2 linked regions of the Tamandua tetradactyla genome follow. The protein of the gene in region 2 binds, or shares a complex with, the protein of the main gene of each other region. Links are inferred from orthologs where the notes say so. Each region holds a gene or a part of one and is shown on either strand. Other genes may lie near its edges.

Region 1 (3,746 bases), on a different chromosome or scaffold from region 2:
AGATTTACACTAGTAAATGGTTGAAATGGCCCCTGAATTTACTTCCTCTTTCCTATCTCTTTTCTGGCTCAATAAATATAAGAATTTTCCAATATTATTTTTAATAGTAGCTACCACTTACTGAGTACTTACTATGTGTCAGGCAGTGTGCCAAGCATTTTGGGGGCATTATCTCATCTAATTTTCATAGCAACCGCCTGAGGTAAGTGTTACCTCTAAATAACTTGTCCAGTTCTTGGCCCTTTGCTGTGTCCAAGCTTTAACCATTGAACCACACTGCATCCCTCCTCTAATTCACTCCTGATAAGAACTATTCGGAACTCCAAAGTCTCCGTGGTTATAAATAAACGTTATCTGGAAAGAGCCACCCGAGAACAGTCAGGAAAATGACACAAGAGTAAGTGTGAAGAACGCCAGGGCAAAAGCGATACCGAAGGCTTTTTAAGGGGATCCCTAACTCCCCGCATCTGCTCCCCTTTATTCACCCCTACTTAGCCGCACTTTGAAAGCTTACTGGCCTTCGCTGGTCAATTTCAGGGCTGCAAGCCCTTGAAAAGCAGGGGGGGGGGGGAAACTCGGGTATTTCCCAAATCAGAAACTGCAGTTACGGAGTTCAATCATTACTAGCGATGGAGAAATGCCTCCTCGCGCCTCCTCTGCATTGGCCCTTCTCCACCTGGCGAGCGCACAGAAGCCGGTGCCGCGAACCCCTCCAGTCCGCTTCGCGCAGAGTCTCACGTGGGAGAACTGCGCCCCTACAGCAAAACGCCGGAGTTGGGCGGACGGCTCAGGGTACCCTGCGCCCTGGCACCGGGGGCAGTGGCTGGGAGGGTGGGTACGGGGTCCACAGCAGAAAACGCCCTTCAGGACCGGCGAGAGGCGGACAAATAAGGTCCCGGGCCCCGGGGGAGGGGGCGATCCCAGTTTCAGTCGCCTCGGGGGAAGGGCTAGCCCGCCCCTCGTCCAAAATACCTAGATATTTAACTGAAGGGAGGGGAAGAAGGGACGCCAGCGTCTCGCGCGGCGGGCGTACGGGTCCAGCTCTCGGGTCTCCCACGCTGCAGCCCGAGACTCGAGCCCGGTTGCCAGGGCAACCCCACGCGGCCGGTGAACCCGGCGCCCGCCGCAGGGAGGGGAGCGCGCTGCTGGCCGGGCCGCTTCCGGAAGTGACGCGACTTCACCTGCCGAGCGGGGGAGGGGCGGGGGCGCAGAGGTGGCGCTGCCTCCACCGCAGCGGGTCAGCAGCGCGTGAGGCTCCGGGAGAGCGAGACCGCGAGCGAGAGCCGCCCACCTGCAGCCGCCGCCCACGGCCGGGCCGCCACCATGGAGCTTCTCCTGTGCTTCGCGCTCGTCTGCGGAGTCGCGGGTGAGTGGTGGGGGGAGGGCAGGACGGTCCTCAGCGTCCCCGCCGCCGGCGCTGCCCCGGGGCGCTCGCTGCCCGCGGCCACCGAAGAACAATGAGGCGTGGGGGAGGGGGCGGGCGCAGTTTGGGGGCACTGCCGCTGGGATTGGCGGTGCGAGCGGAGTTGCACCGGGGTGATGTTTGCGGTGTCGGGTGTACGAGCTGCGAGGTTGCGGCGGCTCGGAATTGAGCCTTGGAAACGCGTAGGGTGTCTTGGGGGCGTTGGCGGAGCTGCGGTCGGAGCCCCCGGATGAGGGGTTGGGGATAGGGGTGGTAGTGGAGGGGCTCGTGGGTGAGTGGGCGCGGCCTGCCCCGTGCTCCTGTGTTCTCTCCTTAGACGGTTTGCAGTAGATGCGTGCTTTGCTTTATTTGCCCCGGTCCTTTCTTCTGTTATCCTCCGTTTTGTGTTGGTCCAAGGTTACCCAATTTTAAAAGCCTTGGGCGGCGAGTTTTCAGGTGCCAAGCAGTCCAAGCGGAGAGGCTGGATTACAAGCGCCATTATTAAGTGGACACTGAGCTTTTAGTGTTTCGGATCGTCCAAGTTACCTCTAGGAAAGAGGAGCAGAACGAACGCTTGCCTAGGCATTCTTGGTCTGGCAGAAGAGGGCCAGCCCAGGCGAGAGCTGCTAACTAGATGATAAACCCTGATAGGTGAAGTAGGAAGTAAACCACGGGCAATCAAAGGCTGGTTCCTGCAGAAATGCATATTGATTTCTGCAGTCCCGGGGCAAAGTGCAAAAAGAATTTAGTCATCACGGTTTTGAGTTCGTAATGAGTTGGTTTATTCTGAAGATAAGCAAGATCTTGCACGGGGTAACTCCCAAAGGATTCCTTAAGTACATTTTTTTCGATTGTGCCTTTCTCTGTGAGGGGAAAAAAAAACAAGTATTTAAAAATAAGTGGACCATTAGAAAGCGTAATCATTTTGACGAAAGACAAAGCAAAAACCGATTTATTTCCGTGTCAGTGTTTTAATGATCTGATCTTTGTCAAACTGAGAAGTGTATTTTATGACCAAATGATACATTAAAAATTCCATGGAGCCATGGAAAGCACACTTCGTCTAATCTCCGGAAGGCTGATTTTTTTTTAATGCTGGAAAGCAGGATCGGGTGGCCCTTTCTGTTGGGATGGCTCTCTGCTTCCTGTTGAAATGTTAATTCCATTGTTAGAAGACACAGCTGTGAGCATTACTCATGGGATCAAATAATCTATTACCAAGTCTAATCTTCTGATTCTGTAGAATTCCCTCCACCTTTTTGATACATATCGTTTAGACTTGGTTTAAGTTCCCAAAGTAAAGCTTCTGAAAAAGATGAAAGGTCACGTAACCAGTTTACATGGTGCCTTTGTCTCATCAAGTCCTAAACTGAAGTTGAAGTTGGCAATGCTTGTGTTCTCTTAGGAAAACTGTTTTAGACAACTCCTAAGGCAGAAAAATGGAAGAACAAAAGCAAATCAGTTAGAGGAATTATTTTTTCTGGGGATATCCAAGATAGTTGTCTGGATCTCATTTTTTTCTCACTTTGGTAGGCATAGTGTCAGCGAAGGTTCTTTATATATGCATAGAGTCATTCTGCTGATAAAATGCACTAGCATAGAGCAAGTATTTCATTAGAGGACAATATCGTGCCTTCAGCTAAACAAAACAATTCTTTTTATTCCAGTTTTCCAGTTTAGGAAAGAACTCAGAATCTGTGTAATTGATGTATAGCCTTTGAGAACATCAGATATGTCTATTAGAAATTTGTTGCTTAGAACTAGAGTGCATTGTTAAATTGAACACCTGCATTAGCAAAACAAGATTGAGGCTTGCGTTATTGGAAATTGCAATGCTCTCTCTGGTGTATCTTCCTCTAGTCTGTTTTATGTTGTAGAGAGTTTGGTATATTCTGACTGCTGATGGAATTCCTTTGAATACATTTTTATTGCTACCTAGTAGCAAGTTATACAACTGGTAATAGTAGTGATAATAGTAGTAGAACAATAGGGTAGCAGCAAGAGTAAAACTAAACCCTTAATTGTGCACTAGTTAAATGCCAGGCACTATTTTAAGAGCCTTACATATACTCAATCTACCTAGCAACTTTAAAAGGTATGTATTATAATTACCCCTGTTGAAACAGGTACAGGGAGGTTTCATAACTAAGATCACAGAGCTGGTAAATGGTGATTGAAGAAGTAAATGCAAACAAGTTATTGGCAGCACAATACTATGCTATTCTGCCTGAAGCAGCAGACATTTTCTTCTTTGATTATTTCTAATCAACATCTTAATTTCTACCAGCAATCATCTGTCATTTATTAAGAACCTGTTACGGGGTACCAGGGACAGAGTTGGGAT
Region 2 (3,746 bases):
TTGTTTATATTTGTATCACATTCCCAACCTATAGCACCTGGCAAGGTGCCTGGGACATACTGAATAAATGTTTATAGACATCCTACAACTGAGCCACTCAATTCTAAGGAGAAACCAGTGACTCCATAAAGACTGAATATAGTCACCCAGCCCCAGTCACTCAGAGCCACACCCAAACCATTTTCAAACAAATCTGAAGAAAACATGTAAACAATCTATGAATATAAGCCATCCATTTTCAGCCCTATGTACCATTAGATGTCTAAGTGAATGAAAAAAGAAATTATGTTTTTTTAAAAATTATCTTCTGGGGTCAGACTTTCTTTTTTTTGGGGGGGGGGGGGTGCATGGTCCAGGAATCGACCCCGGGTCTCCCACATGGACGGCAAGCATTCTAACCATTAACCTACCCGTGCACTCCATCAGACCTGCTTTTAACTAACTCTTCGATCTTTGGGAAATCACTCATCCTTCACATTAATTAAAAGGTCAGACCATTTTTTTACCTAGATAAAAAAGCACCACACAGCAATCAGTAGTTAACAGGCAATGAACCCAAGATGATTATACACCAGGCACTGTCTGAGCACTTTACACATTAACTCATTTAACCCTTACAACAATCCTATGAGGAGTTACAAATGAGGAATAGAGTCATAGGTTAGTGAAGTGACTTATCTAAGATCACAAAGCAAGTGGCAAAGGCAGGACAAACCCAGGCAGTCTGGCTTCAGGGTCTGTATCCTTACTATGCTGTACTGCTTCTCCACATTGGTGAAAGTAAATATTTTAAAGCAAGGGCTTCTCTGAACTTTATTATCAAAACAAACTTAATCTTCTCCCTCTGACCGAATGTTTTTCCCATCCCCATCACTCACCCCTTCACCTACCTAACCCCTGTTCATCTTTCAGATCTCAAGTTCAAGGTCATTTCCTAAGGGAAACTTCTGAATTATTCAGACCAAGTCTGATCCCTAGATAAATGTTTCAAGTACTATTTATCTTTCCTTTATAGGATGTGTCATTATTTATAATTATCTATTTTTTTGTATTTGCTTAAATTCTCACTCTCCATCCCCACTCCATCCCAAGACTATAAGCTCCATAAGGCCAAGAACAGTGCGTGGGTAGGCTTACCTGGTAATTAATTTCCTGGCCAGCACAGTGTGAAGGCCAGGGTAAGAGCTCAGTAACCACCTGCCAAATGAGCTAATAACACCTAACAGGAACATTTACCAAGAACAATCTAGTCACGTTTAAATTTCCTACTTAGATGACAAATATTCAGAAACTCCTATTATAAATGTACAGCAGGATATATAATATAATATAAAGAAGAATCTTGAATCTCAGTTTTTATAAACCCAACCAAAGCATTTAGAAGCCCCAGAAGCACCTTGAAAATAATAGACTCTATTTAAATTCTCAGCTTCTACTCTGCTTCCTGCCTTTCTCCAAATACTGATTTATCTCCTCAGCAAATGTTCTTGAGATAATTCCACACAGGAAATCATTGTATAAGTTGGCCAAACGTTTTGAGCTGGGCTCATGTCTCCTTCATTAATATCATCTATCACTATTGAAGGGTTACAGTGGAGAACCCCCTCTCCTATTATTAATAATGCAGGAGATTGTTATCTTTGATATAATTATGCTAGGGGAAAAAATCCTCAGAAAAGAGATTCATGATAGTGAGACTACTACCACAAGGTATAAAAATAACCTCCAAATGTTACAAGCTCACAGTAAAAGGATGAAAACTTTGTTTCCCCCAGGATCACAGGATATAACTTGTCCAAATCATCATTTATCCCAAACTTAGTACAGACAAAAAATAAGGGAGTGGTGGGGTTTCTCAGCCAAAAGTGCTGCCTCTAGAAAGGACAGCCAACCACTGAGCAAACATACAAATGCCTAACCGTTACATACTCAAAAGGTCTACTCCATATTGCTGTGAATCTATAGGCTCTCAGGTGCTTTTTGGTACAGAAGTCCACACAACCACTTTGAAACACGAAGCTTTTAAAATGCATTCCTGTCTTTCCTTCCAAGAGTGGCCATTGACATGGCATCTTACAACACAGCCCAAGTCACAAGTCAACCCTCAACCTGAAGGAAACCTTGGAAACCAATGCTCTTGGTTCTCCTTCAGACCAGGTTATACCTAAGTTATATCCACATCAGTCTTGCCCAAGGCCAGGGCTTCCAGAAGGTACAACAAGGGTGGACAATAGCCTAACTCTCTTGGGAGGTTTGAGTCCCTGGCTTCCTGGGGTTAAATTCTGTCTAGGTTTGGGAGGAGAGAAACAGTGAAGGAAGAGTCCTGCCATGAGTTCAAGAACACCTAGTGACAGCTCTACCTGAAACCCACAGGCAACATAAAAGCTAAAGCTTTATCACCATCACTTACTTTGTTGTTAAAAGCAAACCTTACTCTTCTTTTCTCAGAGTAACCTAAGTTACTTTACACTACAGAAAGAAAAACTGCCTTCACTAGACAACCATTTGACTGTGCCCTGGTGAGATGGCAAAAACTGCAATTGTGGCTTCGTAATATTAAAGGTTTGTCAATTAAACTCTTAATAACTGGCCTACTTCTGAGTGAGCAAGGTTCAAATTAAACAAGTACTTAAAAAATACAAAGAAATTGCTTACCCAAGAAGAACAACGCTGAGGGAAGCAATGCAGCCAAAATCTCTCAGACTGCGGTTCACCCAGCCCAACTGAAGAGACTTCTGCAAGCAGACTCCGAGCAAACCAAACGCGTGCGTCCTGAGGCAGCTGCAGAAATGCAAACAGGAACCTCTAAATCAAGGTTCTCAAAAGTTCTCATTTCAGTCATCTGGCCCATTACCCAATTCTTATTTATACTTTCGTTCTAAAAAGAGATCATTCAACTTACCAAGGTGGGCTTCAAATTATAGATCCCTCTGAGCATCATCTCTCCTTCTAGATTATAAGCTCTCTGGGAATAGGATCTCGAATGGCATCAGGCAAATGTTTGCTGAGAAAGAAGTCAGCCTTATGCAAGTAAAATATAGTAATTTATGATTTACACAGAACATTTTGCTTTGTATTTCAGACACAGTAGTCACCCTTTTTTTTTTTGTCTCAATACAGATTTGAAATATGATCAAGCATTCACCTGATCCCTGCTTCCAAAGTATGCCCACCCAATCCAAAATGTAGATTTCTTCTGATAGCGACATGCCAGCCTTTCCAGAATACAGAGAATTATTTCCCCAGAGAACACTTTGGATGACTTAAACATCCTATGTAAGAACTCAAGTCTTCTTTACTTCAAAGTATCTCATGGTCTTGAGTCACCACTTTAGACAAGTATTCTCACTGCACATGCCTTCAACTTTCACCAGATTAGTTGGCCTAGACATGTGCATACTCATTTTATGGAACCTGTCCTATATAATTTGAAAAGTTTTTGAATGCTTGCTCTTCTCAAGGAACGCGCCGCATGGTCCTTCAGAAAGTGTGTGCTGGTAAAACAGTGATTTTTGTACTGCAAATGTGCCCTCCCAGGCCAATTACAAGCTACCAATGCTTTAAAAACTGGCTCCAGCACACCACTGAATTTATGTAGGCTCTCTCGCTAGACTCAGAGATGACTGGTTGCTTGATGCTGAAAACCACAAACCCCCTCTCCTTCATAATGACAACCCTCATCTATATGTAGATACACAGCAAAACAAAGCCAGAAAGTGCAAAGGAGTTTATTAACTATGACCTGA

Evidence for each region. The genes of interacting proteins can lie anywhere in the genome.
Region 1: the proteins of JAML (region 2) and CXADR are in contact, whole or in part, in a crystal structure (PDB 3MJ7), measured with the Mus musculus proteins. The link is inferred for Tamandua tetradactyla from reciprocal best matches to the Homo sapiens genes JAML and CXADR. Residues at the interface, in NP_001005421.3 of Mus musculus: Arg57, Asp59, Ala69, Tyr72, Phe75, Tyr77, Leu80, Val82, Glu120, Arg122, Ser127, Met128, Val129, Met130, Lys131; in NP_001020363.1 of Mus musculus: Thr23, Gly51, Pro52, Asp54, Glu56, Leu58, Ser60, Gln65, Ile66, Val67, Asp68, Gln69, Val70, Leu73, Tyr83, Lys121, Lys123, Lys124, Ala125, Pro126, Gly127, Val128, Asn130.

Annotation. Positions count from the first base shown.
Region 1 is NC_135336.1:75,319,660-75,323,405, forward strand, and holds the start of CXADR (coxsackievirus and adenovirus receptor), read left to right. Parts: upstream 1-1,196; 5' UTR 1,197-1,323; coding exon 1,324-1,366; intron 1,367-3,746. UniProt on the Homo sapiens protein: Component of the epithelial apical junction complex that may function as a homophilic cell adhesion molecule and is essential for tight junction integrity.
Region 2 is NC_135334.1:22,494,072-22,497,817, reverse strand, and holds the start of JAML (junctional adhesion molecule-like), read right to left. Parts: upstream 2,809-3,746; 5' UTR 2,656-2,808; intron 1-2,655. UniProt on the Homo sapiens protein: Transmembrane protein of the plasma membrane of leukocytes that control their migration and activation through interaction with CXADR, a plasma membrane receptor found on adjacent epithelial and endothelial cells.